Linked DNA regions of Schizosaccharomyces pombe. The protein of the gene in region 2 interacts with the protein of the main gene of each other region in a pairwise test. Each region holds a gene or a part of one and is shown on either strand. Other genes may lie near its edges. The genes, in order: spo7 and spo13.

The links.
Region 1: the proteins of spo13 (region 2) and spo7 interact in a two-hybrid assay, tested with the Schizosaccharomyces pombe proteins (one study listed by BioGRID).

Annotation. Positions count from the first base shown.
Region 1 is NC_003424.3:3,246,058-3,253,506, reverse strand, and holds spo7 (ArfGEF Spo7), read right to left. Parts: upstream 5,749-7,449; 5' UTR 4,910-5,748; coding exon 953-4,909; 3' UTR 626-952; downstream 1-625. Other genes in the region: histone H3.3 H4 heterotetramer chaperone Rtt106, read left to right, coding at 5,800-5,881, 5,927-6,550, 6,595-7,019. UniProt on the Schizosaccharomyces pombe protein: Appears to have a role in sporulation.
Region 2 is NC_003421.2:603,612-606,823, forward strand, and holds spo13 (protein Spo13), read right to left. Parts: upstream 1,345-3,212; 5' UTR 1,262-1,344; coding exon 1,246-1,261; exon of another isoform or gene 1,195-1,245; coding exon 794-1,194; 3' UTR 755-793; downstream 1-754. Other genes in the region: uracil DNA N-glycosylase Ung1, read left to right, coding at 1-42, 110-518; U3 snoRNP-associated protein Rrp5, read left to right, coding at 2,726-3,212.

The DNA.
Region 1 (7,449 bases), on a different chromosome or scaffold from region 2:
GGATTTCTTGTCCAACTCTGCGAATTCCGCTTTTCACCAGGCGTTGGAATGTAGAACTTCTAGCAATCTAAAATTGATTAGTACGTATATCTATTAAGATGAAGTCGTTTTATACCCTTGATGCGACGTAGGTGGAAAGTAACTCTACTATAATTCGTTGAATCATACAAAGTCAATAATAATTTAAAGGTAGAAGAATAATTATGAGTACGTTTTATCAATAGTGATTCTTTAAATATCGGGCAATTGTTAAACGCCTGCACAAAAGACGCGATATGTGCTCAGGTTATGTTAACCGTTAGCGCCCTCCATTGCGACGTGACTTTGCAAAGAAGGATTATGTAGAGTTTTATCTAAGCGAGAAAAAATTAATCAGAAATTAATGCTTAAAACAGTATTATAAATCAACGAAGGTGAAATATAAAAGTACTGCAATTTCTTTCTGTTTCTATAATTGCTTTATTCCTTATTAATTGCATACACCTCTACTCATATTGTTTTATTTCAAAATAGGTGAAACTTGGACTTTAGCATTCTGGTAGCTATAGCATGTATCCAAGTTCTCGCAAGCTGTTTGATTAAGTATCTAAGTAAAGTTACTATTGTAAGTTTAAAGCTAAAATGAGCGGTAACCAACGTAGTTATTCAGTTTCAACGAGCGCGTATTAAGGCATTTGAAATAATCCCATCGAAGCATATATTGCAATAATGAAATATTCTATAACTGGATGTTATCAGAAGTTTAAGCATAAAAAAATAATAAAATGACAAAAGATTTGTCAAATCTAAATAAAATCAAAATACTTTATTTGGAACTCTCGACAACTATTAACCCTCTTCTTCAGAAGCTAAAAAAAAGATATCTAAGTAGCATTCTCTCAATCGGAGGCCTAATGTCTTTTCATCACTCAAGTTTATTTATTCGTTTAACTACTTTGAATGAAATTTAATTTTATAATCCTTTAAAATCATAAGGATATCTTACAGGAGATAAAGTTGGGTAGAAATCATGGGATTTCCGATATTCGTACTCGCATTCCAAAACTCGCTGGTACTCTTTGTACATCATTGATCGTTCATATAGAAACTTCATCTTTCTATTCCAATTATCCATTGCTTTGAGGTAATTTTTAGATCCGGCGGCAAAACATTTCTCCATTTTTTCAGGCAAAGACTGGAAAAGAAGGCAGGTTTCCAGTAAAGAAGGAACACAATCTCGTAAAATATGAACCTTATCACGCAGTGGACGAGGAATGTCTTGTAATCCTTGAATGTCCATTGGACTCCACCGTGTTAATTGAGCCAGGTCACCGACAAAGGTCTTGGTTCCATCAGCAGCAGTATAATAAGCCTTTTTCTCAGCTCTTGTTAAAATGTACCCCCAACCATATTCAGTGTTTGTAATATTTTCTGGTAGAGGAGGGCAAGTAATCATGGCTGCATTAAAATTTAAAGAATGAATCCATTCGTTCATCGCTAATACGCTGGGCGCTTCAAAAAGATAGCACTCATTTCCTGGAATATTTAGATAAAAGACATTATTGCGATTAGAATTAATTGATGGAGGTAAATTGGGAGATGCCAAGCAAGATTGCAAGCCAAATTCTCTATGGATGGGGCTAACATTTGAGCAAGCATTTGGATCTAAATGATCTGACTTATAAAAGATTAGTTTTCCACTATCGACAATACAGTACTTTTTCTTCCAATAACCTGCTACCCATCTATTGTTTTTGCTTAAAACCATTTTCTTATATGAAATCATGCCTCGTCGGTGCCATGGTAACCTGTTATGAGTCTTTTCTTCTTGCATATGATGAGTGTAATTAAACACCGAAAAATGTGGTCTACCATCTATAACTGATGGTTCAGGAAGATCAATCTCCTTTCCTGCGTAAATTCCTCCATTCTCTTCATTCAAAACAAACGAAGATTCCTTAAAAGCATCACTTTCAAGACTCGTGCTGTTTTTGTTTCCAGAACTCTCCTGCTTTAGTAATTTTGAACTTTTCATTAATTCAGATATCAGAGATGATCGATTCCTTTTGGGAGTCAAATCACCTCTTACTTGGTTGTGCAACTGTGCTTGCACGGCATTTGGTACTGCAAATGGAGACTTCAGAAACGTATCATAATATTCTTTTAGCATGCATTCAAGTATGAAACCGATATCGCTTGGTAAATTGCTCCACGTTGAGAAAAGCAATTTGGCAAACGTTGATCGGTTCTTCTTATATTTGAGCCAATGCTTTTTGTCCTCCTTCGACAAAATACAAACTGAATCTGGAGATATGAGAGGACGAAGTTTCTCGAGAGCATATTTCACAAAAGTTTCCATCGGAACGACATAAGAATTGAGCTTTTTAGAATAGGTTGATTTATGTAAATCAATTAAAATCAATACTATTTTAACAATAATGTCTTCATTTAAAAACCCATAATTACTATTTTGCTTAAGCCAACAAGATGCGAAGACTTGCAAAATAGGAGAGTGTATGTAATCATCCGAGCCATAGTAAAGATCACAGCATAATTTTTGAAAGGAAGCGTAAACATTTAAACTTGAAAAGTCATAGTGTGATATGAATTTTACATACACATTTTCATATTCAGATCCCAAACTAGCAAACCAATCTGTAAAATTGTACGACAATAGCTGCTTCTCTAGCAAATTCCGTAAGCAATTGGATAAATTAATGGGGTCCTTAAACTCTGAATTGTGACATACCTCGAACAATTTCAGTTGAGAACGGTCGTGTAAATTCAAAATAGTTAAAAGTGATCGTGGAACTTTAATTCTTGGATTGTTTTTAAATTCCAAAGAATTGGGAGTTGCTATTTCTTCGGAATTGAGATCACTCTTGCTATCACTTATAAGCAAAAACTCTTCTTTAAACTTTGAAGCGCTCAGACCTTCGTTAGCAAACGTTTCATCTTCATAATCTTGTAGGAACGTTTCCTGAATATCCATAGTTTTGACATCTGGATTCACAAAAACTTTTTCGCCAACCTGCTGACTATTTATGCGTGAATTGCGTAAATTGCGCATCTTGCGAATTTCTTCAGCTGCGTTTTCATGGTGAACTGACTGAGACTTAATCTGACTTTGCAATTGTTGAATATAGCTACGTTCATCATGACTAAGATGCTCTCGGTCATCCAATAGTAATTTTGAAATTGAAACTAGACCTTCGGGGGTTTTGGGTGAAGAAAACCGATTTTCACGCAACATTATTTCGTTTGTAATACCAACCTCCGAAAGCACTGAATAATACGCAACCAACGATTGTTTTAAGCAAGAAATCTGCTTTAGTGGTATTCTTTGGAATCTTGAATAAACTAACGCAAATTGGTGTTCCGCGATGTCTAAAGGGTATTTCCTGAGCAAAAGTTTTGCTAATTTGCAAAAATATAGGCGGTCAGAAAGATTTTCAAGTAAATACATTTTGGGATCAGCATTAGCAAGCTCATTTTTAGTGTTAAGTTTCGATACCTGTATACGACTATTGATTTTGTGTTCAGTAGCGTTCAAAGTTCTTGGATGAGGGTTCAACTCTAAATTTTTTTCCATTTTTATGCTCGGGTGTACATTACCATTTCCAGCTAGACACGCTCTCTCAATTTTTGAAATAACTTTCTCTGATGGATTAACTACCTTAGATATGCTGGAATGGGATGTCGGTTCAACATTGTTTATCGATTGTGGCATGTAAATATTTCCTAGTTGTTTGGCTAGTTGTTTAACATGACCCTTGGGAGGAGCCTCAGATGTCGGTGCCTTTGTTGTAGGAGCCTTTGTTGTAGGAGACTCTGCTGCAGCCAATGCTTGTGGTTGTACTGAATTAGAATCTTGGTTCATTAGTAGCGCAGTCTTTTCCCTTATCACTTGCAAAAACTTCTGAGAAGTTGTCAGAACTGAATCACCGACTGACACTTTTGGTGGTACTTCCATTGAACCATTTTTAGCAGCAAATAGGTTTATAGCTTCCTTTATTCTGTTACATTTTCTGGTGGAAGCCCGATAATTAGGACCTAAATTAAAGGGATTCTCTTCTAAAGCATTTGTAGTATGCCCTTTAGATAAATTTGAAACATAGTCCCTTTTTCTATTTCTCTCCCTAGCTAGCTCGATCCTTGCTCTAACATTTTCCCCGGAATACTTCCCCTGAATCCTCCTCTTAGCAGATAAACTAATTTTTTTTGAAGGAAATATTTCCTGAGGAAAATTGGTAACGACTATCGGAGGCGGCGTTCTTTGGCGCTTTTTAGAAGATGGAAGTTCTTCTTCATAATCTTTCAAATCACGTTTTAATGAGTAAGAACCAGAGGAAGCTCGTACGCCGTTGCCGAACATGGATTGAGAAGGATGAGAGTTTACGGGTTCACTAAATATTCGTTTAGGCTGAAGGCTTAAATCAGAAAGTTCACCATTTGTTCGAGGACGCCGGGTTTTAATAAACGATTCTTTGTTGCTTAACTTGCTTTTAACGTTAAACATATGATTGTTTTCAGCCAAGATTTTCTCAGACTCCACAGAATTGGCATTGGAATTGAGAAAAGAGCGACGATGACTTATAAATTCCTGAATCTGCTTCAAGCGTGTCCTTCTCTGAGAAGATTTGTCTTCTCCAGAAATATTTTCCGTTTTGCTTTTAGCGCCTTCCGTATGCAAATTTTCTTGACAAATTATTCCCTTTGATTCCTCAAGTTTGCAAAAATCGGTTGTAACTTTAGACCGCTTCAACTTCGAAAGCAACGCTGAATGCTTTTGGCCGGAAGTATAGGTAGGCTTTGATTCTCTCACAGGACGACAAGTGATGCGACTATCATTGCACGATTCCAACTTTGCAATTTTTTCCGAAACACTTAAGCTTGTTGGGGAAGATCCTTCTGTTATTCTAAAATCCATTCTACCTTTTTCGTGGATAATTATACAATTGATTAAAAGAAATTAATAGTTATGTCGGAAGAACGCTTAAAAAATACAATATGAATATAGGAATTCTTTCAATCGGTTGATCGCGAAAGCAATTAGGATAATTATGTAAGTTTTGTAAGGACAATTATCAAAATTGTTTCCTTAAATATTTATACAAACCGTCAGTTTTGAGGGAGGTTGAGGGTAAAGGAAAAATAGGCAAAACAAATAGCTTATGTCTTAAAACACCTCATTGCATTAGACCTAGCGAACAAACTATTTGTTTACGTTTGTAAATGTCAACACACGTTGATTACATCGGGAACAACATAAACCAATAAAACGAATTTTAGGATCATTTAATAATTTCTTTGACAAAATCGAAACAATAACAACTTTAAGGGAAACCATATCCGATTATAGGAGCAACAATCTGACCTTCCCAATGCTGAAGAAAGCTAATCAGTTCTACAGCTGAAATTTATCTATAGATCGCAAAAAGAATCAAAGGGAAAATCGATATCGTTTCACAAAATGTTCCCAACTTTTTTGGACTTTTCATACGAAAGTAACTGATACGATAATAGAATGAGTTTTTATCTCATTTATGTAAAATGACTACCTTTGTTGAGTAAAATTGAGCAATTATAAATTAAGCATATTCATATTGATCCATAAAATAAAAATTTGTTGCTAACATAAAGTCAACAGCGAACCGAAGTTTGAACGTAACCACTTGGGATAAAATTTTTATTGGATCGAAATCATTTGCATGATAATGGAAATAGTTGCTATTACATTTGTTACTGTTAGCTGAGGTGTGGTGTGCTGTCGAAGCCCTTGTTTAAGACTCAATAAATTCTAGCCGGCAGCCATCTCTAATGGAGTCCAACGTGAACGATGAAATAGAAAAGGCATTTGCCAAAGATTCTGAGTTAGCAAAAGATATAATCAAACAATATGGTAAGGTTTGAGTACATGCTTTTTTCCTTAGTCTAATGAAATTAGGGAAAACAAAAAGTATACAGCCTCTAGTGCATCGAATTTGCAAGTACATCAATACATTGCAAAAGGAAAACGAATCAGGCCAAGTGAAGGAGGCTGGAAGTTTAAAACGAAAGGATCGTGTTCAACATGAGTTAGGTCAATTGGTCTATGGAGTACTTAATCTATCGTTTCAGGCACCTATGCGAAAAAAGCTAGACGTCTACATTTATGAAAATGGAATAGCAGTAACATTACCAGGCGAACCCAATTTAATTGAATTTTGGCTTCCCTGGAATGAAATTCGTTGTGCAATCCATGTCCCATGTCCAAGGAAAGCTAATGTTCAAAACAACTTTGTGATCATCCTTAAAAGTGAATCGTCGGCAGAAAATATTGTTTCAAGTGATAATGTAAAAGAACCTGTCTTTTTTACGGCACCGTATCCTTTGAAAAAGCTCAACCTCGTTGAAGGTTTACGATCCTTCACCCACTGCACGAACTCATGGGATATTTTTCGCGATTACTTTGAGTTTATTGGCACTAGTACTTTGTCTCCTTCTGTCGAAGAATTTGTTTGTCCAAACCCGCAAACGGGGGACAATGGCACGACATATGGGGTTGAAGCAAACTATAAAGCTAAAGATGGTATGCAAAGGATGAATTCTGTGTCAAAATTGCTAATCAAATAGGGCATTTATTTTTTCTGCGTACTGGCATACTATGGGGCTTCCGTAAACCTATACTTTTCATTGAACTAGCTAGCATCCAGCATTTTTCCTATAGTAATGTTTTGCAACGAACATTTACAGTTAATTTTGAAGCTGGTGGTACAATATATTCATTCGATATGGTTGATCAAAGTGTCTTTAGAGCAGTAAATGATTACGCGACAAAGCATGGACTAATGGACTCCAGTCTTGCTGAAGAAAAAGCTGCACCAGTCCCTAAAAATCCATCTGTTTCATATTTGAATGAGGCATCATCTCTTGAAAATGTTGATGATATGGATGATATTGATGTTAAAGAACCTTTATTCTCTGATAACGACGAGGATGTCGAAAACAGCGACAGCGAGGACGGTAGCGAATCTATCGGTTCAGAGGACGAAGAATAGAAAGTTGAATGTACATAAATTTTTTTCTGTTTTATTTATTACCAGTTTGTTTTAATTTAAGGATTTAAATAAATTTAAAGTCTTCTAGCAAAAGGTTATCTGTGAGCTATCCAAATTTGTTTTAGACTCAAGTTATACACAAAGTTGTCGCAGGATACATTTTTTGTTGATAGTTTAAAAAGTGTGGATCTGGACTTTGTGTGCTAATCAATAGATTTACGCTCCCACTTGTTTGAGTTTTCTCAAAAATTACCCGACCAACATGTAAATATTTTCTATAATACTAATTTATGAAAATTCCTAATTACCTTATTCGATCTGCCGCTCTTAAAAAAGGTATATAATGTAAATAGCGGTTATTTAAAGTTCCTGATGTTCATTTTAACAGAAGGGTAGCTGAGTTTAAGCAAGAATTACCTGAACTGCCCAT
Region 2 (3,212 bases):
CATCAAGATCGATTATCCTGATTTTGTTATTCCGAAAACAGGGTACGTTAAAATTATTTAGTCTTTATATTTTTTCTTTCTAAGATTTGGCTTTTTGCTAATGAAGCAGGTATTTAGTTCCTTGGGCTGACCAAGGCATTTTAATGCTCAACGCTAGTTTAACTGTAAGAGCCCATCAAGCTGCTTCTCATTCTGGCAAGGGTTGGGAAACTTTCACTTCTGCTGTCCTGCAAGTTGCGTTGAATCGGAATCGCAAGGGTCTTGTAATTTTAGCATGGGGAACTCCAGCAGCTAAGCGACTTCAAGGTCTTCCTTTGAAAGCACACTATGTACTTAGAAGTGTCCATCCTAGCCCTCTCTCTGCACATCGTGGCTTTTTTGAATGCCACCATTTCAAGAAAACCAATGAGTGGCTCGAAGAGCAGTATGGACCTGAAAAATGCATCAATTGGAGCGCTGTTTCTGAACAAAAAGCAAAAATAAAGTCTAGCGAGTTGGAATCCTCTTCAACTGAGTAGAAAAAGTCAGAAAATAATTGCTCGTTTACTGGATGCTAATAGGTCTAATCAAGCTTTTTATTTTCTTTTGTCATGCTTGCTTTATTATACCACTTGCATGCTTATCTTTATTCTACCTACAATTGGACTTGCTTAATGTGTGTTATTTTTCTATGTCTTTCTTTTCGCAGAGGATTTATTTTTTTTTTGTCTTAACATTTAAATCATTCATTTTAAAGTTTAATATTTATGTCAAATCCATCGTAAACGGCACATTTATTAAAGACTTAATGTAATCAGTGGTAATTTGATTCGTTAGAATAACTCAGTAATTTTCTGGCTTCGATTGAAGTTCGGACAGCAGTTTGGATGCTTCTTAGTTTCCCAATACGTCCTTTTTCTTTTGCCCTGAGATAGTCCAATTCTCTTTTTAATACTTCTGTATCCTGCCTTGCCTTGGCCACCATTTCGTTTGCTTCAGTGAACAGTGAAACCGATAAATCTTCCATTTCTTTCTGACTTTGCTCAAGCAATCCTTCCAACTCTTCTCTTCGTTGAACCTCTCTCGAAAGTTGTTCCTTCAAATGGGTTATTGCTAAAGTATTGGCATTGTTTAATTGTTTATTCGTGCTTTCTTTTAAAGCATTTTCATTCGAATTTTCCTTGTTAGAGATAGAGCTAAAAAGCTTTGAAATTTCTACATGTTAGAAAAAATTGTTTTATATTGTATTGTCATGTTGTCCCTTACGAGAATTGCTCATCATTGTTTCAATTTTTTTTCCTTTCCTATAAAATACTAATTGCTAACTTTTTTTTCAAAAGTACAGTGGTTTAAAGTTGTTTGCTTAGAGAAAATGTCATTTGTTGACACAGTACATATGGCTGTTAACCGTAATATAAATGACAACAAACAGGAGAAAGACTTCGTTAATGTTGAAGAATCATCCGTTTATTATTTTTATCAGTTTGCTTTGTTTCTTTTTTATTTATATTTTTTTGCGTGAATTTTATGAGCAATACATTCAATATACAATTTATGGAACATTGAATCAATTTCACTGAAGAAATAAATTTATTTTATCAATTTCATACAAAAATTTTTTTTACCCAATACAGGAAAGAATTAAGTGAGCCTCATTTCGTTTTTTACAACAAAAATTATCGAACAATAAACGAAAGAAACAAAATGTAACAATTTCTCGGTCCTTGATTTCAAATCAAGATACTTGAGCTATAAAGATGCTTTGAATTTATTATCATATTCTATATGAGCTTCAAGCATATACTTACAATTACAGAGTGCAATTCCTCATTTCATTTTCATGTCCACTGCTATTGTAACCTGCCAAAGTGTAAACAAAACATTCATTCGGGTAGGGTAGGGTTAAAATTGTAAACGAAACACTAATCTAACTAACGAGAGCTTAAAAAAATTGCTGCGAACAATAATAAATAGAAGAGGGTATAAAAACTTACAAGACAATTTTGAACCCTTGAATGCTATAAGTAACGAAAAGAAATAATGGAGGTAAAAATTAATATTTCAAAGGAAATTCGGAAATAACCTTTTCGACGGTCAACATTTAGATTGAGGAGAAGGTTTTTGACATTCACTATCGATGCCATTTCAACTGGTAAGCGCTAAAAACAAGGGTTTACGCAAAATTCTTTTTGTACCTGTGATAAATATTGTATTTCTATTGTAATAGCCAATTTTTTCATCCTATGTATCATGGAAATGTCCGGCGTAATAAACTTACAACCGCGCTGTTCCTAATTTTGTTTCATTGCTACAAAAATTAATCAAAGAAAAAAAATAAACATCCCCAAGCTTCGTAAATTTAGATTTATCGTTTCATTTGCTTGTACCAACAAGCATTCTGGCATTTGCATTATTCATTATGAAATTAATAGTGTATGCAGTGCGAATAACTAAGATAAAAAAAATTAAGAAGAAAAAAAATTAAATTAAATGATCAATTTGTAAGTTTTTCTGTTTTTTGCCATGTACAATCGCATATATTGTTTGTGCACCTTTTTTAAGTTCCTCAACTCTCATATTATTGCGTAGTACAATATTCATCGTTAAAAGAAATTCTCATGATGCGTTACCCTTCCTAGACTATTTCTTTTGTAGCAGCAGCATAAATTTACTCGCTACCAACTACTTTGTATAAAAAGCTTCTTTCTTCCAGTCGTTCTTTCTTTTCAGAAGTTCATAGAAGTAAATGGCTGGAAATAAAAGAAAGAGGAGCAATGCCTCCGAAGGCTCGGATTCCCAAGGGAATGAGAGAATTTCTTCTTTGAGTGCTAACGAGGCAACTCAAGATTTCCCTCGAGGTGGGGCGTCTTCATTGACTCCTTTAGAGTATAAAGAAGCTGTTTTAGAGGCTAAGAAGGACTTTATGGAGTCCGCTTCTGGTACCGCTGAATTGAGTAAAAAAACTCGTCCTAAGAAAAAGGGTAGTAAAAAATCTTCCAAATCCGAATTGGACAACGAAGAAAATTTGAAGGTTCATATTCAAAGCTTAAGATATAAAAATATCACACCCGGCTCTTTAATTTTAGGTCAAATTGCTCAAATAAATACGTTGGACTTGGCCGTCTCATTACCAAACTGTTTGACAGGTTATGTACCTATCACAAATATCTCCGATAAGCTTTCTGATCGTCTGGATAGTATTGACAATCATGCAGAAGATAATGCAGCAACTG